Linked DNA regions of Mus musculus. The protein of the gene in region 3 purifies or fractionates together with the protein of the main gene of each other region. This does not show direct contact. Links are inferred from orthologs where the notes say so. Each region holds a gene or a part of one and is shown on either strand. Other genes may lie near its edges.

The links.
Region 1: the proteins of Pink1 (region 3) and Cdc37 purify together in Homo sapiens (affinity purification with mass spectrometry; 6 studies listed by BioGRID and IntAct, with this or other methods). This does not show direct contact. The link is inferred for Mus musculus from reciprocal best matches to the Homo sapiens genes PINK1 and CDC37.
Region 2: the proteins of Pink1 (region 3) and Vim purify together in Homo sapiens (affinity purification with mass spectrometry; 3 studies listed by BioGRID and IntAct, with this or other methods). This does not show direct contact. The link is inferred for Mus musculus from reciprocal best matches to the Homo sapiens genes PINK1 and VIM.
Region 4: the proteins of Pink1 (region 3) and Sqstm1 purify together in Homo sapiens (affinity purification with mass spectrometry; 3 studies listed by BioGRID and IntAct, with this or other methods). This does not show direct contact. The link is inferred for Mus musculus from reciprocal best matches to the Homo sapiens genes PINK1 and SQSTM1.

Annotation. Positions count from the first base shown.
Region 1 is NC_000075.6:21,146,442-21,152,333, forward strand, and holds the start of Cdc37 (hsp90 co-chaperone Cdc37), read right to left. Parts: upstream 3,494-5,892; 5' UTR 3,417-3,493; coding exon 3,315-3,416; intron 1-3,314. UniProt on the Homo sapiens protein: Co-chaperone that binds to numerous kinases and promotes their interaction with the Hsp90 complex, resulting in stabilization and promotion of their activity. Inhibits HSP90AA1 ATPase activity.
Region 2 is NC_000068.7:13,572,441-13,578,366, forward strand, and holds the start of Vim (vimentin), read left to right. Parts: upstream 1-1,870; 5' UTR 1,871-1,991; coding exon 1,992-2,554; intron 2,555-3,100; coding exon 3,101-3,161; intron 3,162-5,926. UniProt on the Homo sapiens protein: Vimentins are class-III intermediate filaments found in various non-epithelial cells, especially mesenchymal cells. Vimentin is attached to the nucleus, endoplasmic reticulum, and mitochondria, either laterally or terminally.
Region 3 is NC_000070.6:138,312,189-138,317,322, forward strand, and holds the end of Pink1 (serine/threonine-protein kinase PINK1, mitochondrial precursor), read right to left. Parts: coding exon 5,117-5,134; intron 4,013-5,116; exon of another isoform or gene 3,944-4,012; coding exon 3,816-3,943; intron 3,546-3,815; coding exon 3,309-3,545; intron 2,026-3,308; coding exon 1,768-2,025; 3' UTR 1,221-1,767; downstream 1-1,220. UniProt on the Homo sapiens protein: Serine/threonine-protein kinase which acts as a sensor of mitochondrial damage and protects against mitochondrial dysfunction during cellular stress.
Region 4 is NC_000077.6:50,203,320-50,208,565, forward strand, and holds part of Sqstm1 (sequestosome-1), read right to left. Parts: intron 4,598-5,246; coding exon 4,502-4,597; intron 4,318-4,501; coding exon 4,088-4,317; intron 3,983-4,087; coding exon 3,841-3,982; intron 2,785-3,840; coding exon 2,704-2,784; intron 1-2,703. UniProt on the Homo sapiens protein: Molecular adapter required for selective macroautophagy (aggrephagy) by acting as a bridge between polyubiquitinated proteins and autophagosomes.

The DNA.
Region 1 (5,892 bases), on a different chromosome or scaffold from region 3:
CTTGCAGAGCCCCTGCTGTTTATTTTTACACAGGTGCTCACCTTTGCTATGTGGCAAAGGATAGCTTCTGCCTCTCTCTCGCTCAAGTGCTGAGATGACAGCCATGCACTGTCACATCTGGCTTCAAATGTGTTCTGAAATCACAAGCACCTAAGCAGTGATGGCAGGAACTATCCCAAGAGAAGCCGTTGTTAAACACTGGGGTTCTAAGTCTTACAGACTGCACAGAGCACCCGGGTCCTACTCCCATCTCAGGAAAGTTAGAGCAGCCAGAGAGCCCTCCAAGTCAGAGCGCACCAGGGCCACAGACCTGAAATGTGCGCTGTCAAGCGTCTGCTCAGCGCTTAGGAATCCAGCCCCTCACAGATGGACATAGAACACGGTAAAGTCAGCGTGTACACCAGAGCCTGCCTGTCCTCCCACATGTGCTAGGGCAGCAGGCCCCACTTCCCTCCTCAGTATTACAGCCATGGCAGCAAGACAGGAAACAAAGCCTGTAGCAGCAGACCAGAGGCCCCTCCCACCCGGCAGCAGACCAGAGGCCCCTCCCACCCGGCAGACCAGAGGCCCTCCCACCCGGCAGGAAGACAAACCTTCAGAGAACAGAAATAGGTGTTCCCAGGAATGGTTCTGCAGCTGTGTGTGGCTCTTCAGTGCTTCCTAATACAATGCTATGCGAGGCACTGGGCTTCTCTGCTGCCACACACTGCTGCCTGGCAGGTGGTCTTCCCAGGAAACTGGAAGGAATAGGTGTGTGGGTGGGACTGGGAGCCGAATGCTGGATTTGGGGAGGATGGGGAAGGACTTTCTAGGAGTAATGAGAAGTTTTCCCCAAGAAGGTGAGATGCAAAATTCCTAAATGGAAAGTACCTGCCCTCAGCTTGAGAGTATAACAAGCACAGGGGCCAATGAGAGGACTCAGTGGGAAAAGGCCTGCTACCAAGCCTGATGACTTGAGTTTGATCCCAAGAACCCACATGTAAGGAGAAAGTGGACTCTATCAAGTTATCCTTTGACTGCCACAAGGATACCTCGGCACACATACATAAGAATTAACACACACAAAAAAATTAAGATGTAACTTAAACAAAGAGTATAAGACACACAGGTATATGGGTATAGAAGTTTTAATTTGGGGAGCAGGTTAGGCCATTGTCTCTTTACTGCTGCGACAGAGTTGGAACCCAGTACCTCTTGCACGCTAGAGAAGTACTCTACCACTGAACCACACATCCAGGCCACCCTCACATCTTGGTAGTATGCTACAGGCCTGCAGGTAATGATGGCACAAGGGAGGGGCAAGAGCATGGCTTGCTCACACTTGGGGTTCTAAGGTCTCAATCTGGGGCGTCTGTTTTGGAGAGATGTAAAACTGCAGAGGACTGTATTTTATTTGCTTGGTGGTTGACAGGATCCCCTGTAGCCTGTGCCAGCCTCACACTTACCGTGGCTGACGACTTTGAACTTCTGACCCTCCTGCTTCCCTCTCCCCAGTGCTCAGACTACAGGCCTGCCCCACCATGGCTAGTTTTTAAGCAGTGCTAGAGATGGAGCCCAAGGCAATGCCATACAACTGAACTCCAGCCCATTTGGTTTTTGATATTGTCTCATGTAGTCCAGGCTAGCCTAGAATTTGCCCTATATCGAGGACTGACTCTGAATCCCAGATCCTCCTTCCTCGTCCTCCTCCTAAGACCTGAGTTTACAGGTGTGCTACCATGCTCAGAAAGTAAGGTTATGTGGGAACATTATCTGGGAGGTCCAGAGTTAACTAGGATGCTCTGAACCCTGGAGAGAGACAGATGAAGCTGGAGGGAACGGGCAGGTAGGACAGGACAGGCTTGGTTTTCTGGGTTGGTGAGCTGTCTTTTCTTTCTCTTCCTCCCCTCCCCCCTCTCTTTATCCTACCCGACTCCCGGCCCCATCCCTCCAGACAGGGTTTCTCTGTGTAGCCCTAGCTAGCTGTAGAACTCTCTGTAGACCAGGTTGGCCTTGAACTCACAGGCCTGCCTGCCTCTGCCCCCTGAGAGCTAGGATTAAAAATGTGTGTCATCATCATCTGGCTCCTGGTTTGGTGAATTTTCAAAGATGGCTACAGTTCATATAGGAGCCAAGGTGGGAAGGAGAGGGTCTACTTACTATACTAGAAGGAGCAGAGGTTCTAACAGGAAGTTAGGTGGGTGGGGTTTCCTGGAGTAACAGGAAATAAGAGTCTACAGGAGGTGAGAATAAGGAGAGCCACTGGAACTGAATGATGGGCAAGAGTGGAGATGGAGGTCAAATACAGAGGATAAGGGGGCTCTACAGGTATGTCCCATGTGGGACTCAAGTCTATAACCCAGGGAAAGGGATCCTGGACTGGGGAATCCCAGCTGCAAGCTAAGATTGACAGTTAAATTAAGGGCTCATTTAGTTTGGAAGTTGGGGGGGGAGGGGGTCGTCTCTGGGCCTTTAATAGAAATTCATGCCTAAGATCCTGGGAAATAGATGCCATAGTCAGAAGTTTTGTGGCTCCAGACTCTAAGTAGTGAGGAGAGGCAGAAGGGAGACGTGCAATATGAAGTGGGTGCGTGGCTGGGCTATGAGATCACCTAACAGAACCTGGGGTCCAGACTCTGAGGAAGAACAGAAGGTTCTGCACAGGATAGTGGGGACCCTACACACAAGGGTCAGCTTGGGGATGGGGAGAGGCAAGACTCTGACTAAAGTATTACCAACTGATAAAATGGCTCAGAGTGTAAAGGTGCTTGTGGCAACGTGGGGCGACTGGAGTTCCACAGCCAGTTCCAACATGGTGAAAAGAGAGGCCCAACTTCTACAAGTTATCCTGTGATCACCATAGGCATGCTGTGCCACGTGCACACGGGAACACACACAATAAATAAACTTACAAACAGAAGAGAACCATAGCACAGAGAGAACGCCTGGAGATACAGGTCAAGAATTACGGTGAAGAAGCCAGGAGTCCTGGGATGGAATTAAAAAGTCCGGCCCTGCATGAAGGCACATGTCTCTAATCCCAGTACTGGGAAGGCAGAGGCAGGAGGATCACTGTGAGTTAGAAACCAGCCTGTTCTACACAGCAAGTTCTAGGCCAGGGAAGGTTACACAGTGAAATTTTGTTTCAAAAAAAAAAAAAAAGAAAAAGAAAAGAAAAGAAAGAGAAAAGTCTAGATTGTGGAGCAGGCGGCTCCAGATGTCAATAACTAAGGTCTCCCCCGCCCCCACGCCAGGTGGCCTGGGGAAGAGGTCAGAACTCTAGAGCGGGGGGTCCCGGGAGTGGGGGGGAAGGGGATGAGCGCGCACAGCCCCACCTGGTGCCGCCAGCGGAAGAGGCTGGCAGTGTCTATGTTGGGGTGCGTCTCGTCCTCATCGTCCGACACCTCGATGTGATCCCAAACGCTGTAGTCCACCATCTTCGCTTCGGAGGCCCGGACTGGCTCCCGGGGCTCCACACGGCCGGGCGCTGAACAGGGACCCACAAGGGCTAGAGAGTCCGCTCGGCGAGCCCCGCCCCTTCCGCTTCCGCCCAGGGCGCCGCGCAGGACGGCCCCGCCCCAGCGTCGGCGCGGGACGTTACGTCCTTAGCAACGGGAGTCGGCGGCATTGGCAACCGGAGGTCTTCTTTAAAGGGCCAGGAGTATGTGGTGAGGCCTTCTGGAAGTTCCCGCCGAAACCAGACTGACCATCCTTTAGAAACAAAAGGTTAGTCGCGTTGGGCGTGGTGGCCCACGGTAATCCAAGTACGCTAGAGGCAAAAGCAGGTGGCTCTCCAGGAGTTCTAGTCCAGCCAGGGCTACATATTGACACTGTCAAAAAGTCAAAATTGGCTGGGCGGTAGTGGCGCTATGCCAGTACTCCGGAGGCAGAGGCCGGCGGATCGAGGCCAGCCTAGCCTACAGAGTAATTTTAGGGACGGTCAGGGTTGTTATACAAACAACACTCTAAAAAAAAAAAGTCAACATTGCATACACTAGCAAGATTTTATCGAAAGGACCCAGATGTAGCTGTCTCTTGTGAGACTATGCCGGGGCCTAGCAAACACAGAAGTGGATGCTCACAGCCAGCTAATGGATGGATCACAGGGCTCCCAATAGAGGAGCTAGAGAAAGTACCCAAGGAGCTAAAGGGATCTGCAACCCTATAGGTGGAACAACATTATGAACTAACCAGTACCCCGGAGCTCTTGATTCTAGCTGCATATGTATCAAAAGATGGCCTAGTCGGCCATCACTGGAAAGAGAGGCCCATTGGACACGCAAACTTTATATGCCCCAGTACAGGGGAACGCCAGGGCCAAAAAGGGGGAGTGGGTGGGTAGGGGAGTGGGGGTGGGTGGGTATGGGGGACTTTTGGTATAGCATTGGAAATGTAAATGAGCTAAATACCTAATAAAAAATGGAAAAAAAAAAGTCAAAATTGAGGCTGGAAAGTTGGCTCAATAGTTTGGAGACTGGCTGGTCTTCCAGAGCACCCGGATTCTGTTCCCAACACCTACATGGCCACTCACACCCATCTGTAAGTCCAACCCAGGATATATATATTATGTCCCCATTTGGCCTTTGACTACACCAGGCATGCATGTGGTGGACAGATATACTTGCAGACAAAACATTAATATACAATTTGTTTTTTTTAATCATGTTTGCCCTTAATTCCCACCCCACCCCCACCCCCACCAGAGTCTCACTGTATATAAGACAGCTCTGGCTGTCTTGGAATTCACTATGTAGACCAGGCTGACTTCAAACTAACAGATCTTTCTACCTCTTCTCCCCAGTGCTGGGGCTAAAGGTGTGCCCCACTACACCAGATCTGCCCTTAAATTTTAAAAAATATTTATTTGTTTGTTTGTTTGTTTGTTTGTTTTGAGACAGAATTACTCTGTGTAGCCTTGGCTGTCCTGGAACTCACTCTATAGACCAGAATAGCCTAGAACTCAGAGCTCTGACTGCCTCTGCCTCTGAAGATTAAATGCTGGGACTAAAGGCATATAGCAGGACCACCTGGCTAAATAAATAAGTAAATAAATAAAATTTTAAATTACATCTTAGGGGCTGAAGCGACCACTCAGTAGTTAAGAGCACTGGCTGCTCTTTCAAAGGACCCAGGTTCAATTCCCAGCACCCATATAGCAACTCACATTTGTCTGTAACTGCAGCTCCAGAAGGGTTGATACTCACACCGACATATATGCAGACACAATACACATAAAATAAATAAGTCAGGGTTTTTTTTCTGTTCTCCCCAACACCCTACCCCCAGAGAGGGATTCTTAGTGTAACCAGCTGTCCTGGACTTGCTTTGTAGACCAGGCTGGCCTCAAACTCAGAGATCCGCCTGCTTCTGCCTCTCAAGTGCTAGTATTAAAGGTGTGCACCACCATGTTCAGCTAAATAAGGAGGTTTTTAAAATGACATTTTATTAATTTTGTATGTGTTTGTACACATGTGAACATCAAAACAACTTTCTGGAGTCAGTTTTGTTCCACCATGTGAATCCCACTGATCAAATTCAGTTCATCAGGCTTGGTGGCACTAAACCGTCTCCCCAGCTCAGGCCTTTAAAGGAAAAGTCTGGCCGGGCAGTGGTGGCGCACGCCTTTAACCCCTGCACTTGCGAGGCGGAGGCAGGCGGATTTCTGAGTTCAAGGCCGGCCTGGTCTACAGAGTGAGTTCCAGGACAGCAAGGGCTATACAGAGAAACCCTGTCCCGTGGGAAAAAAAGAAAACAAAACAAAAAACAACAAAAAAAAAAAAGAAAACAAAAAAAGAAAAAGTCTGAGCGTGCGTTCGGTGTGTGTGTGTGTGTGTGTGTGTGTGTGTGTGTGTGTTTGTGTTAGGCACGCACACCAGGCAGGGTGCACAATGTGAAGGTCTTAAGATAATTTAC
Region 2 (5,926 bases), on a different chromosome or scaffold from region 3:
AATAAAGAAAGGCACAGCAGGAGAGCTGGGTCCCAGAGAGTCCTGCAGGCAACCTTGACCGCAGCATTCCCAGAACTGACTGAGATGAGGTGCACAAAGGGTTGCTTCAAAGAGTCTTGTACAAAAAAGCTAGCATAAATCCTGCACGTGTCTCTAAACGGCCTTTCTTAATTGCCAGGTAAGCTGGGAACACTCTGTGCTCCAAAGAAAAACAAAAGCAAAAACAAAATACAAGCTCCTTTTCCTTCCCTATTCACTAATGGACCCATCTCCCAGTTTGTTTGTTTTTGTTTCAGTACTCCACAAATCCCAAACCAAAAGAAACTGTAATTTTTCTATCCGTGCTTAATCACAAAGGGCCTAACTTCCCTTTCTTGAAAAGTCCTTTTCCCTTGGAGAACGGAGACCCCTTAGTCTTGCCTAGAAGCAAACGTGAAGCAATAGCCTTGAGCTGGTCATTTTCCCTTTGAAAAGGTGACAGTCGCTGCATCTCAACACTCTGAACCTTTTGTTTTGTGGACAGTTGTCGCCATTTCAAGTTAGATTTCATGATTTTTCTTTGTGGAAAATAGGATCTGTGGCGTTGCCCAGACAAGTCACTAGAATCTTCTCCCCTGCATCGCTGCTCTAAAATCTACAGAAATCTGTTTCTTCAGTTTATCACTTGAGCTACATAACTGCCTTTCTTCCGAACTCATTCACCGAATTGGATTTTTTAGCAAAACCCAATGGTTTCTTGTCCGACTTGCTTATCTTCTAATGCAGTCCACTTTCAGAAAGGCCGAGATCACTGGGCTTGCTTTTGAAATTACCAAAGTAGTTTCCTCTTTCACCCAGAACTTAGGGTGTGGTTTCATGCAGGAAAGAGAGAGAGAGAAAGAAAGAGAGAAAGGGGGAGGGAGGGAAGGAGGGAGGGAGGGAGCTTTTGTCGTCAGGGGTGGGGATGGGGGTAGGGGTGTGTGGATGTGTTTTGTGGCTCTCCCGGGTCTGCAAGAGTTTCTTTCTAAGGAGAACTCTCCACACTTCCCCAACAATCACAAGAACGGTTATTCTCAAAGTTGGTTTAAAACTTCGGACAATGAATGAGCTTAGCGCTCTTGGAGTCTGGAGTCAATCTCAACTAACGGTTTTCCTGAACCGCTAGACGATCTCACCCTCAGGGCTCCATGAGTCATATCCACTGACTCAGCGACCCCACCCCGTCCCCTGGGCTTTACTCCAGAGGCAGTGGCTCCTAATCCTCTCTAGTTGAACTGAGTCCGTTAGATCAGGGGATATGACCACGTCAAACAAGCCCTCTGCAAAGGTCTTGAGCCAGATATCTTGGGCTGTGTGCTTCTCCACCCCCAATCTCGGGCCCTCTTTGTTTCTCTCTCCCCGGCTTCCGATCTGCAGGACTGCTTTTGCAGGCTCTTCCTGCTCCTCCGCTCTCGGATCTCCCCACCCACCCAGTCCCAGAAGACCGCAGATCTGCGACTGCGACCACGCCCCTCCTACCAGCGCGCCTAGTCCCACGCCCCTTTGGCCCAGTGCCAGGGATCGCTTTACTCAACTTTCCAGAGCCCCCCTTCCTTCCCCCATGAATCCTTCCCGCGATCCCTTCTTTCTCAGCACCCAAGGGTGAGTAGAGAGTTCGGGTGATCACCAGGAAAGCCCCTGAAAGGCCTAGCACTTCCAATTAGTAACAGGACTGTGCTTGATACCCTACAGCCCTGGAGGAAGGCTCGAGGGGAGCTCCCTCCCCCACCCCCCTTCCTCACTTCTTTCCGGGTCCCCATTGGCTGGCTCGCTCGGCGGCTAGGATGGCAGTGGGAGGGGACCCTCTTTCCTAACAGTGTTATAAAAGCAGCGCCCTTGGCGTTGTCCAGTCCTCTGCCACTCTTGCTCCGGGACCCCAGAGACCCCAGCGCTCCTACGATTCACAGCCACCGCGCCCTCATTCCCTTGTTGCAGTTTTTCCAGCCGCAGCAAGCCAGCCCACCTTCGAAGCCATGTCTACCAGGTCTGTGTCCTCGTCCTCCTACCGCAGGATGTTCGGTGGCTCCGGCACATCGAGCCGGCCCAGCTCCAACCGGAGCTATGTGACCACGTCCACACGCACCTACAGTCTGGGCAGCGCACTGCGCCCCAGCACTAGCCGCAGCCTCTATTCCTCATCCCCCGGTGGCGCCTATGTGACCCGGTCCTCGGCAGTGCGCCTGCGGAGCAGCGTGCCGGGCGTGCGGCTGCTTCAAGACTCGGTGGACTTCTCGCTGGCCGACGCCATCAACACTGAGTTCAAGAACACCCGCACCAACGAGAAGGTAGAACTGCAGGAGCTGAATGACCGCTTTGCCAACTACATCGACAAGGTGCGCTTCCTCGAGCAGCAGAACAAAATCCTGCTGGCTGAGCTCGAGCAGCTCAAGGGCCAGGGCAAGTCGCGCCTGGGCGACCTGTACGAGGAGGAGATGCGGGAGCTGCGCCGGCAGGTGGATCAGCTCACCAACGACAAGGCCCGTGTCGAGGTGGAGCGGGACAACCTGGCCGAGGACATCATGCGGCTGCGAGAGAAGTAAGGCCTGACCTACGCGAGTGGTGGGGTGTGGGAGGGAGGGGAGTCCTGGGCCTTGCACTGGGGCTGCCACGCCCTTGGGGATGTGGCTGGGGTGGCGGTTGTCTGGAGGATAGCAGAGGAAGCGGGCCCCACCCTGAACCTAAACTTTGCAGTGAACATTTCTCTTTTCGCCTCACTCAAGCACTTCCATTGAACTTTTTAGAAAGTTTCTTAGGTCCTTCTTCTGGGCTTACAGTTACCAGACAGGAGGAAAGAATGGGTGTGAAGGGTTCCAGACAAAGAGATGGCAAAGGCATCTGGGATATTGGGACAGGGGATTGGCTGTAATTGTAAGGGAAGGGCAGTGATTGTCTTTTCCAGTGTGCCCCAACTCCAGCTAACACCTGCAGAGAGCTGCCACCTCGACAAGTTGCAGTAACTACTGTGGGTGGAGGTGTCACAGCAGCTCTGGACTCAAGGCTTGGCGGCATTTGTGGTTGGGTGTGGCCGCCCCGCCCCTGGCGGTTTTCCAGTTCCCCTTTGATTAATGTGCTGCTGCTTCAGATTGCAGGAGGAGATGCTCCAGAGAGAGGAAGCCGAAAGCACCCTGCAGTCATTCAGACAGGTTTGTAGACTTCTTTTTCACATGCAGCCAGCAGCCCAATGGAGCCAACCCGCGAGCGGTTCTAAAAGTTACTTCCCTTAGGTTTTAAAAGGTGCAGAACTTCACGTCTGCTTGTAAAGCCCCCTGGCGGCGGAAAGCGCACAGATTGAAAAACTCCACTATTTAGGGCAGTCTTTGGAACATGAAGGCTTTATTTTCTGCTTCGTTTCCAGATTTTTCTGATCCCCCACACCCCCGAAACATTTCTCCTTTCGTTTTTTGAAACATATCGACATTCGGATATTGAATGGTTACAATTTGATTACATTGTGGATTGTGAAGGTGAAATTGGCTAACTTTCACAAGGTCATAAAAACCACAGTTGCTTCCTCCAGTTGGAAATGTAGAATACTCTGGAGGATGAGAAAGTTTAACTGGAATTAAGCCAAGTTCCCTTTCTTCCTTCGAAGTTCGGCACTGCGTGAAAGTTAGCAGAAGAGTCATTGCACAACCATTTTTGAAATCTAACAAGGGTGAAAAGAAGCCATCTGTTCCCGTAGCTCAAGGGTGTTAAAGGTTTCTATGGGCTTCACTATGGAATGTAGATAGGGACGTTCTGGCAAATGCGGTGGCTCTGGACAGAAAGAATAGGGGCCTTTGTGTTCCCAGAGCAGCTTTGCAACAGGCTACATTCTTATTGAATATGTAATGATGTAACCACAGTTCCAATTGGACACAAGTATTTGCTAACATCCATTATCTTGTGTCTGGGCCAGGCTTGTGAGGTATGCCGTGTACAAAGTTCTTAAAGCTAAAGTCCTCCCTCACATTTGGAAAGGCCCCCTTTTAGGGGGGTTTGTAGACTCATTAGCACCCTCCACAAACAAAATTAAACCCTAAACTGAAGAATGGAGTATTTTATGGAGGGAGGATTTGTTTGTTTGTGTTTGTTCCAGGGTTAGGCATTACCTTAGCATCCCGAAGTGGACAGATGGCCAGTTCAGTCTTGTTTGGAACACTTGTTAGGATCAACAGCCAAACTCTCCAGATGAATGTTCTAAGGTAGCATTCTGAAGGCATTTGCATCCTTAATGGCAGTAGACGAATATGCAGCCCCTTTCAGTCACTGGGCATTTTCAGTCATCACCAAAGGAATGTTTTCTACAAAGCACTGAGTTAATACACACCATCTCTTATTTGTGGACTAAAAATTGTTTCATTCATTCATTTAAATGAAATGACACATTTAGCTGAACTTTTTCGAGAAGGTTAGTCCAATATCATTTATATATTTTTTGATGGCTTAGCAGAAGTCAGAAATGAATGATACTACTATTTAAGTTCTTATATTCTTTTTTAAATTAGTATTTTCTTTGGGACTGATAGAGTAACTCAACATTATAGTTATAAACTATACTGCAAATACAGTTGCTTACAAGGGAAGTTTCCAAACATTTCCTTGAAAGGAAACAACATTTCACATGCAAGATTGAACAGTCTGTCTTAAAATAGATCACTTTATAAAAACTCTGCAGAGAAGTTTAAGTATAGTTTCATTGTAAGTGTTTTGATCTGTCATCCTAAAACAGACAAAGTCATTGAAATAACACTGTGACAGCTGGGACAGGCAGAAATACCCTATAGGCTGAGCCAGGGTGTTTTACACATTAAAAAAATTAGAGAAGGCAAAACAATATAGTTCAGGATTATATTTCTTTTCCTTCTTGCCCGAGGAGCATATCTCTGCAAATGCAAGACCTGGATTTTGAACAATGAATTACTACTTGATACGAGGCTAGCCTGGGAACCTGGATGCCAGATAACTGAGTGCTTATTCTAAATTCCAAAGATAAGCATCTGAAGGTTTGAATACAGGAAACAAAAAAGAGCATGCATATATGTTAACCCTTCTGAGCTCAATTTTAAATGATTTTTAAAAAATATGTAATGTGTTTGTGTCTGTGTGAGTGTATAGGACATTTCTGCAGGCTTGCATGAGGCCAGAAGAGGGCACCTGATGCCCTGGAGTTGGAATCATAAACCTTCATGAACTGCTCCATGTGGGTGCTGGGAACCAAACTAAAATCCTCTGAAAGAACAGCATTCTTTACTACTAAGCCTCACTTTAGAAAACATTTTAATTTTATTTTTGAAGCTCTCATTTTTATATTACGTGTACTCAAGCAAACATGAAGTTGGACAATCTCATCAACTACTATCATCACAAAATTACAGACTTATTAAATGTGACAGAGGTTTAAAACTGAAAATGAATTTTTCCATATAGTTCACCATACCATGTCATTGTGCATATACATGTGTTTATTTTTAACTTGTCTACTAGTTAGCTTCAATACAACCAAATGGTTTCCTATTCATTTTTAAAGCTAAGAATGAATATTGGAATGTGACCCTAAATGATTTATAAATTTATCAAGGGTCATGAAATTTTCAGCACCTTTTCTACAATAAGGAGAATGGGTTTACATGGTTAATTTTTGAACAAATAAATAAATAAATAAATAAATAAATAAATAAATAAATAAGGGGCTGTAGAGACAGGTCAATGGTTAAAAGCACTGGCTACTCTTTTAGGGCACCTGGAATTCAATTTGCAGAACCCACAGGGCTGCCCACACTCTTCTCCAGTTCCAGGGCATCTTTTGCTCTCTTATTGCTTTTGTGGATACCACATGCTCGTGGCATACTTATATACATGCAGGCAAAACACCTTTATACACAACATAAAGTGAAAAAGGGATTAATATAAATAAGTTAGATAAAGG
Region 3 (5,134 bases):
CGCCCCCATTTCTAAAATAAAGAGAACCACTGCCCTCACCTGTCACCTGGCCCCATGACACTGATGATGGCAGGGCTGCTGCCTAGGGACACTGTGCCAGAGCCTCCGTGCCTCTCATCTCTCCTCATGGAGGTGGGGATCACACACCCACAGTGTAGTGGAAACTAGACTGACAGCTGGCCTAAGAATTGCTGCTGAAGAGACCCGAGAGGGACTGGAAAGATGACTAGGTTAAGAGCACTGCAGAGGACCCAGGTTCAAGTCCCAGCACCCACATGGCAGCTCACAACCTTCTATAATGGTAGTCTGAGGAGATCTGATGCCCTTTTGTGGCCTCCCAGGAGACCAGGTATTTAAGTGATACATCGTATGTACAGACAAAACACGATATGCATAAAATAAAGAAAACCCCTGTGTTCCTGTTCACTGGCTCTAGGTCCTATCAGTGTTCTTTTAGTTCCTTTGTTTTTGTTTTGTTTCAAGACAAGGTTTGTGTTCCTGTTCACTGGCTCTAGGTCCTATCAGTGTTCTTTTAGTTCCTTTGTTTTTGTTTTGTTTCAAGACAGGGTTTCTCTGTGTGGCCCTGGCTGTCTTAGAACTCACTCTGTAGACCAGGCTGGCCTTGAACTCTTGAGAGATCTTCTACATGCTGGGGTCAAAGGCATGCACATGAGCCACAGCTCAGCCACATCTGTTAAACTGTATGTGAACTGTCTCTGTTAGGGCATGAGACTCATTCCTAATGCAAGACCCTCAGTTCAGCACACTGTGCTCTGCTCTATGCTGTAAACTCACATTTAATATTCCATGGCTCCTGTAAGAAAGGCTGGCACAAGACCCCCAGGTCCCACACCACACCGAGTGCCTGCTGCAGCTCAGCGGCTCTGAGGGATGCATTCCCAGGCCCTGCAGACACACCCGTGCCTTGCACCAGCCCTGCAGACCCTGCCGTAGGAGGATGGTCATAAACAGCATTGCCCTCAGCCTAGAGGGCACATGCCAGGCAATAGTGGCCACCTCTGTTATAAAGCCCATTACTGGCATGAGGGACGGGGGCCATAAACTGCCAGCTACTGCCCTTGGGTCTCGGAGACAGGAAGGACGGGTCTAACCCCCTCAGCCTGTCCACATCTACCATCACGGCGGGGAGCGCTTCCTGGTCTGCAGAGTGAGCGTGATTTTCCTCTGGTGGGAGAACACTTGGCTCCAGTGTACACATCTTTGGCATGGAGACTGTCTTTAATGCTCGCATCTTTAAAGAGTTAGACATAAAGAATGCATTTAGCCCAGGAATTGGTAAATTTGACTATGAGCCATGCTGGTTGCTGCTTACAAATTAAACCTATGTTTTTGCATTTCTAAGTGGTTGGGAAAAATGAGCAGAACTTATTGACGACAAGCAAAGTTCAGTGTTGGCCTCACTGCAGTGCTTGCTTGGCCTTTGCCTCAGTGATAGGTTAGTCATTACAACTACTTCATTCCCTGTCTGGCCCTCTATAGCTTACCAACTCCTGGTCTGGCCTGATGTCTTAATTCTGCCCAAGAACCTAACTGGACGGGCACAGGTAGTGCCTCTCTCCCTCCTGAGCTGTTCAAGGCTGTTCTTCCCATTTGCTGAGCCCAAGGCTGACCAGCCCCTCCCTCTACTCCAGCTTGTCCCCTGACTCCTGCCCACCCAGCCAAGCCACCTTCTTCAGCCTTCGTATACTGTCATGACATCAGGACACAGATGCCCCTTAGTCTTTTAGTAACTGGAGCACAGAGCCATCATGGGGCTGCCCTCCAGGAAGAGAGGAGGAGGGCTGCCTGGCAGAGAGCCTCACACTCCAGGTTAGCCAGAAACAGCATCTGCAGCTTTGTCTCCACGCAGCTCTTCTCTCTCAGCCTGTCAGCCAGCAGAGTGGCTGCTGACTGCTGCAAGAGCCAGGCGATCATCTTGTCCAATTTCAGGTTCTTCAGGGCTAGAAGATGCTCGCCCCAGAGGCTTAAGTGCAGCACATTTGCAGCTAAGCGTGCAGACGGTCTCTGCAAAGCAACGGAAGGGGCCGTCAGAATGCCTGCACAAAGCACATAGTCCACACTGCAGCCGAGGGAGTGCCATCTCAGGCCTGCCCCAATTTGATTCTTCCTCCTATCTTCCCTCAGCTACCCCCTAACCAAGCCCAGGACCTTGCCCATGTTGGCTTTGCTGGGACACCTCTGTCATGAAGGGGTCCCATACACTGCTCTGATCTCTAGCACTGCGGCAAAAAGCCTTTGCACCTGATGTAGTTGCTGAGCAGCCGCTATGAAGTAAGGGTGTGAAGAGCAAGGGGTGTGAACAATGAGTGTGAAGAGCAAGGGGTGTGAACAATGAGGTGTGTGAACAGTAGGATGTGAAGAGTGAGTGAACAGTGAGGGGTGTGAATAGTGAGAGGTATAAACAGGAGTGTGAACAGTGAGAGTGTGAACAGTGAGGGGTGTGAACAGTGAGGGGTGAGGAGGCTGCAGAACAATAGGCTGAAGCCAGGCCCATCTCAGGGTTTTCTAAGGAGCCACCCTTACCAGACCTGCCCTTGCAAGTCTGGCTCAGGCCAACTGGCCTCTGGGCTCCTGCTGGGCTGAGAGGAGTACTCCTTCCACTGCTGCATCTTTGCTACATGTTTCTCAAAAACACATCCTTTTCTTTCCAAGCCAGTCTCCTTTAAACAAAATATTCTAGTTACATTTATTTATCTAGGGGGCGGGAGGCTGCAGGAGTTGGCTCTCTCCTTCCTGTGTGGGTCGTGGGGATCAAACTCAGCAGCAAGTGTCTTTATCCGCCGAGCTATCTCGCCGGCCCTAAGGTTTTTTCATTCTTGTTGGATCTATCCGATGTGTGTGTGGAGGTCAGAGGATAACTTGGTGAGGTCAGCACTCTCCTTTTGCCTTCATGTGGGTCCCAGGTTTTGAACTCCGGTTGTCAGGTGTGGCAAGCCCCTTTACCTGCTGAGCCATCTTGCCAGGCCATCCTTCTAAGCAACTCCAATATAGCCAAAGTCAAGAGGACTGGGAAGCACGGGTGACATGGCCCGGCATGCCAAAGCCCCATGAACAGGGAGTGAAAGGGACCCAAAAGGACCCAGAGGCTACGATGCTAGGCCTCTGATTCAGGGCTAACTGGCCAGCTTCCTGCCCTGTTTATTCTCAAACCTACCCTGTTCTGTAGCTGGCCTTTGCCTGTATATGACAGGCTCTGTTTAACACTGTAGAACTTGCCTAAACTCAGCCTTGACTCAGACATGAGCAGAGGCCCTCACCCAGAGGCCAGAGCTTGGGAACAGCCTCACCTTGCTGGCCTCTCGCTGGAGCAGTGACCTCACCAGCCGTCTTGCCTCTGGAGGCACCGACTCAGGCATCTCAGGCAGCTGAGCTTCCTGGTAGCTGCGGCTCTCGAGGTGGGCACTGCCTTGGCCATAGAAGGGATTGGCAAGCCCAAAGATTTCATAGGCGATGGCCCCCACAGCCCAGGTATCGGCTTTGCTGTAGTCAATTACCGCACTGGGGCCAGAATGGGCTGTGGACACCTGCGGGAAGCAGAAAGAGAGGTCAGGCCCCACTGGGCCCATCTTTTGTGTTCATGCACAGCCTAAGCTGGGATCAAATCTGAACCCTGCATGTAAATGCATCACAGGGAGGCATGAAGCCGGGAGACATCTGCCACAGCCACCCATTGATGCAGACAGACCTCCCGGGGACCTCAGGCCAGCCCAGTGAAAGTGGGGGCAGTCGCTTATTGGGAACGTTTAGGAAATGCCCCCTGCTGGCAGGACACAAACACAGCAGGCAGGACTCACCTCAGGGGCCATCAGGGAGCCATTGCCACCACGCTCTACACTGGAGCTGTTGAAAGGCAGCCGCAGGCCAACATGCTGGTCAGCCAGGCAGCAGCCAAAGTCTGAGATCACTAGCCAGGGACAGCCATCTGCAGAGAGGCGGCCAAGGTGAGCGGTGCAGTCGGCCTGTACTCCTGACAGCCCCTCCCAGATCCCCTCCAGACGCTACCACCAAGGTAAGGATGAACTAGACTAGATACAGCTCAGAGACTTCATCCTTGGCAAAATGGTCCCCAAGGGTCTTTATATTCTAGGAGTCTTACATTTGAGTTTGTAATGCCAATAATCTAACAAATGGACCTTGGGAGAGAAAGGCTCCTGGAGTTCCTAAGAAAGCTTTCTAGTGACACATTTAATTATTTTAAGTTTAATTTTTAAAAAGATTTGTTTTGGGGTTGGGGATTTAGCTCAGTGGTAGAGCGCAAGGCCCTGGGTTCAGTTCCTCAGGTCTGGAAAAAAAAAGATCTGTTTTATTTTTATCTATGTGTGTTGGTGCCCGGAGAGGCCAGAAGAGGGCGCCAGATCTTCTGGAGCTGGAGTTAGAGGCAGCTGTGCGTTTCCACCTGGGTGCTGGGAACCAAACTCAGGCCATCCAGAAGAGAGGAGCACTTAAGCACGGAGCCATCTCTCCAGCCCGGCAATCCTCTAGAACATCCCAGGCAGGGCTTCTCATTGCATGCTCACTGCATGTTGCCAGTGATGGAGAAGCCAGGGGTTTGTGTGGGCAGCTTTCACTGAGCCACAATCTGGCTACCTCTCCTACCTCTCACTGGTTCAAAAACTACAGGACAGATGGTATTGTTCTGCAAGGGGGCCACAGAGAAGACCCCAGGAACTGTAAGAGGGCTGTTGCCTATCTTACCCATGAGATGGAGGGGAGTCCTCTCTTGAAGTAGAGCTAAAGAAGGCAGTACAGAATATTCAGAGGGCTGGGGAGATTGCTCAGTGGTTAGAGTAGTGAGGACCTACTTGGATCCCCACCACCCATGTCAAAGCTATAACCTCAGCACTAGGGTGATGGAGAGAGATCCCAGGGCCTTGGTGGGCAGCTAGCCTTACTGAAACAGTGAGCGCCAGGCTCAGTGAATGACCCTTTCTAAAAACATAAGGGAGAGAGAAGGAGACAGGGGCCAGGCCCCAACCTTTGGCCTCGACATGTGCATGTCACATGTACACACACACACTGCCCTCAGGGTCTCTAATGCCCCTTCTTGGAGCACTCTGGGTGTGTCCAGAGCACTGTGGCTCTGGCCAGCAGCTACCTGAGTCCCACTCCACAA
Region 4 (5,246 bases), on a different chromosome or scaffold from region 3:
TTTAAAAAAAAAAAGGATGTAGCGGCTGGCCTCAACCCCAGAACCACATAGCTCTAGGTGACCAGATAACTATGTGACATGACAGACCATGTGACAACCCCCACAGGCCAGAAACAAACAGCTGAGCTCTTTCTCCCAACCCCAGCCCTGGTAACCCACCCATTACCACAAAGTCCGTCGTCCCCCGCCCAGGAGAAACCTTGTTTTTCCCAACCCAATAGGAAACTAGACTGCAGAGGCCAGGCCAGTACTATACACGGGCAGAATGTCTAGCCATGACTGCTGGAGGCCATGACACACAAGGTCTCATGATGTGACAACTATACATCTGAACTCCAAGGTTCAGCTGAGTGTGTGGCCCTGAGGCTGGAGAGCACCCAACCAGTGTAGCGGCCTGCCCGTGTTTGTAGTAGGAGCTTAGGGACCCAGCAGGTTCACTCGTGAAAGGACAGCACCCACAGCTTCCACAGTCCCTTCCCAACCACACACCAACTGACCCCGAGTCCCACTGTGGCCTTTCAACCCCCCAGCTCTGGGCCCCTGGTTCAAGTTCTCATCTGTTTACTTCCTACCTTGTCAATATTTACCACCTCCCTTCCCCTGTCCTTTTTTTTTTTTTTTTTTTTTTTTGGTTTTTTCGAGACAGGGTTTCTCTGTGTAGCCCTGGCTGTCCTGGAACTCACTCTGTAGACCAGGCTGACCTCGAACTCAGAAATCCGCCTGCCTCTGCCTCCCAAGTGCTGGGATTAAAGGCGTGCACCACCACGCCCAGCTCCCCTATCCTTTTAAGAGACCACCTTTGGCTGAAAAAATCCAACCAAGCAAAAAAGTATTTACACTACTAACACTGTGTAAATGTTGTTTGCACTGGGCTTGTAGGTCTTCTCGCTACTGTCAAGAGTACATCTCCCCTTTTGTATTATAACCTCCTGATTCTTTCCAGAGTCTTTTTCATTTTCTGTGGTTCATGGCTATCAGGCACCCATCAGGTTTGGCTTTTCCTTGGAAAGCACACTCAGTAGTCAGGCCCTCCACAACGCATATGGGATTTGGCCCCCAGATGACCCTTTGAGATAGTCATATATGGCTTCTGATCCTAAAGACACTAGCAAGACACTCTGTTGGCATGACCAGGACCGCTGTCAGTTTCACATATATAGAGCATCCAGAGGCAGGCACCAAGAAAACCCAGCTGCCAGGAGCTGGTGTTCTGTTAGGCATTTGGCCTTCCCTCAGCAAGGATTCTTCAGCTGTTGTCAGGCCAGTGAGGCTGAAATGCTGGGCCGCCTATTCCTTTGCTCATTTCTGATGCCCACTTCCAGGTGCCTTAGCTTATGTAGCAAAAGGGTCAGGTGCTTCAAGTGCCCGAGATGAAAGCCATCAGCTGGCTGTGTCTCTCAAGAGCCTCTTCCTCCAGTGCTAAGGCCATGGTCTAACTGAACTGCCCTGTCTGTGCTTGGTGTTGGTGCTGGGAATTGAACGCACAGTCTTAACACTCTAACACAGAGCTCCAGCACGGCTCATCCTCAGCTGCTCAACTTAACTGCCAGGCCAGGATGTCCCTACTGCCTCAGAGCTGCCCCTGGGGCAGCATGAGCAGAGATGGCCTTGCCTGCAGCGAGCGGTGGTCACACCTGGTACAAGATGAAGTGGAGACTGGTGGGGCTTGGACACGCTTCATCAGCATTCCTTTGGATACTGACACAGCCTTTGTACAGGTTCCTGTGGCCAACTACTAACACTGCCAACAGGGTAACCAGATGTGGGCAAGCACCTTCTAAACCACACCAGTGTGTCCAACAGCCGGTGCCTAGCATCACAGTATAGAGATGACACCGGCCACCACCTCAGCAGACCGCCACTGTCCTTTGCATGGAGCCTGGCAGAACCCAAAGCACTTGTCCCTACTCTAGCACCTTCTCCGTCTCAGAGAGGCTTGTGAGAAAACAAATCCCAGCACTTGGTAGACCAAGGGAGAATTACACAAGTTCAAGGTCAGCCTGGGCTACAGTGAAGCCTTGTCTAAAGAAAAGAAGAACAAATCACCGGCCTGCTTTCAAGTCTAAACAAATACAACCCACTTGGCTCAGAAAAAGCAGGCTGCTGTTACCCAAAGCTGTGATCAGCTGGCCCATCTGCCAATCTATCTCCCCTACTAGTTCCTTCTGCTTTGTGAAGAAGGCTCAAAGTCAGCCAGGAGCTCAACCTTCAGGCGCCCATCCATTCCAGTCCGCAGCAAAGGCTAATTTTACACAACAAAACCTTGCTGGAGTCGAGCACACATATCTGCCCTGGCCCCTGCACCATGCCAGGAAAGGCTGCCAAAGACTATTTGCACTTTGAGCCACTGTGGTAGTCTGAATAAAATTGGTCCCATAGACCCATAGGGAGTAGCACTATCAGGAGGCATGGCTTTGTTGGAGGAAGTGAGTCACTAGGGTGGGCTTTGAGGGCTCAGAATCTCAAACCAGATGTGGAACTCTCAGCTCCCTCTCTCCAGCACCATGTCTGCCTTGTGCTGCTATGCTTCCTGTCATAACAATAATGGATTAAACCTCTCAAACTGTAAGCCAGCCCCAGTGAAATGCTGTCTTTATAAGAGTTGCTGAGGTCATGGTGTCTCTTCACAGCAATAGAAACCCAAACTAAGACAGTCACCAAGCCACTAGGGTATCTCACAGGATGGCAAGAAAGCTCACTCACCTAGAGGGCTGAGGGCAGCTGCCACACTCTCCCCCACATTCTTCAGGAAATTGACATTGGGATCTTCTGGTGGAGCAGAAGCTGTTTTACAAGAAGAAAGATGACCTCAAATTCTGTGACTGCCACCTACCACAGTCCCAGCACATGGGTTCCAAGGTTCCTATCATCGAGGTAATTCCTGGCTTGGGATTGCCTGACCATACTTGGTACTTCCTCCTGTCCCCTCCCCTCTGCAAGCTTGGTCCCCTAGTGGGTCACATGTTGGGCCTCTCTGGCTCAGTACAGCCCATGTATAAATACTGACCCTGTCCTAGATGTGCTGTTTACTCAAAATCCACAGAGCCCGGCTGGCTGGGCTGGCACATGTCTATAAACTAAGCCTCAAGAGGCTGAGGCAGGAGAATCTCAAGTTTAAGGCCATCTTGGGCTACACAGTGAGTTCTAGGCTCCCCAGGGCCATAGAGAGACTCAAGAGGGAAAAAAAAAATCAAAAGGCAGAAACCCCAAATCTAGAGTGTGGGCCCACCCACTTGTGAGTTCTTTGCTTTCAGGATTTTGAGACAGGATCTTATACCACAGTTGGCTCTGACTTTCTGGTCCTCTAGCCTCTACATGCCGAGGCCTGAGATTACAGTGTACGTGCTGCCACGCCTGGCTTTGGGACCATGGGTTTTTTTGTTTAAAGATTTGAGCACCTATGGCCCTGATATTCCCAAGTTAACCCAAAACAAAAGAAAATACATTCTAGAAATCCAGCCACCTACCCATGCCTCCCAAGGGCGGCCTGGCAGGGGACGGTGGGCCATTTAGGGAAATTAGTGGGCTCAGGCGTTCAGCCACCTGTTTACCCACTTGTAAAAGAGAAATGCTTTGTCTCTTCGGGGTTAAGAGGGTTTGATACCATGGATAAGGATAGAGTGTAGCACAAAAAAGGAACCCCTATGTGTCATGTGTAAGACCCTAGGTTCAACCTCCATTCCCCCAAAAGACAAAAAAAAAAAGGTAAAGGGATGTGTAATGTGCAACTCAGTGTGGGTACTTCTGGACTTTAGGCTATGGGGATGGCTTGGCCAAGGGCCTACCTGAACTAGCTGGCTACTTAAGACACCCAAAAGCTAGTTCAAATACCAGTCTTACCTGACTCAGCTGTAGGGCAAGGGCGGCCATCCCCTGCACGAGGAGGACGTGGGCTCCAGTTCCCCGGTGGGCCCATCTCCCAGCCAGGCCAGCCAAAGTGTCCATGTTTCAGCTTCCGAAGCCAGCGGCTATGAGAGAAGCTCTGGGTAGGAGGAAGCAAGACAGGAGGAGAGTGAGGGGTCAGGGTTTCCAGCTCCCACCACCCTGTATGCCCCCCACGCCCCAGGACGGCAGAGCCCCGGCTCACATCAGAGAGGTGGCCAAAGGGGTTGGGAAAGATGAGCTTGCTGTGTTCCCTGTGCAGGCCCTTCCCCTCGCACACGCTGCACAGGTCGTAGTCTGGGCACACACTGCACTTATAGCGAGTTCCCACCACAGGCCCGTTGCAACCATCACAGATCACATTGGGGTGCACCATGTTTCGGGGTGCCTCCTGAGCACATGGTGGGCGATGTTCCCGCCGGCACTCCTTCTTCTCTGCAGGGAGAGTCAAAGAGTCCATCCAGAACTTAGTTGCTAAGGACAACCGCTTAGGAGGCCAGGACCTCTGTGCCTCTGACAACTCCCAGCCCCGCTACACCCACCCCAAGGCATCACAACTCCGACTCCTGACCCTTCGAGGAAAGCCCCACAGGAAGGAAGCCCCGGATTCAGCCTTTACCTTTAATGTAGATGCGGAAGATGTCATCTTTCACATAGGACATAGCCATTGTCAGCTCCTCATCACTGGAAAAGGCAACCAAGTCCCCATCCTCATCTAGATTGTTCAAGAAATGACACATCAGAGCCAGGGACACAGCTCGGCGGGAGCATGCAAAGGCCTTAGGTTCCATTCCCAGAACTAGAGGCTAAAATGCAGCAGAGGCACCCAGCATCTGCTGCAGTGTACAGAGCCCAGTGGTAAAGGGACATCTACTAAGGCTCTACACTCAACCTGGCTGCTGAGCCAAGCAGCAAGATGGCCGTTCATTCCGATACGGCATGAATATGTACTCCAACCTAGGTCCTAGATTAGTTACATGCAGAAGGCAGAACATATGTCATGTGTATATGTGTATAAGGGTCCAGCTTCCTGCCACTAACCACTGGGCCACCTGTGCCCTCAGGCCACGCCTAACCAGGTGTGGGTCCATCACCTGGGAGATCCCACCCTAGTCCTGATGGCCCAGCCCTTCAAAGGCCTCAGGCTTCAGAAGTAAAGGACGTAAGTCCATCTGTCCCCTCCCTTCAACTAGACAGCTAGAAACCACTACATTCAGGCTCCATCTAAGTTGTTCTTGGGTTTTTTGGTGTTTTTTTGTTTTGTTTTTTGAGACAGGGTTTCTCTGTATAGCCCTGGCTGTCCTGGAACTCACTTTGTAGACCAGGCTGGCCTCGAACTCAGAAATCTGCCTGCCTCTGCCTCC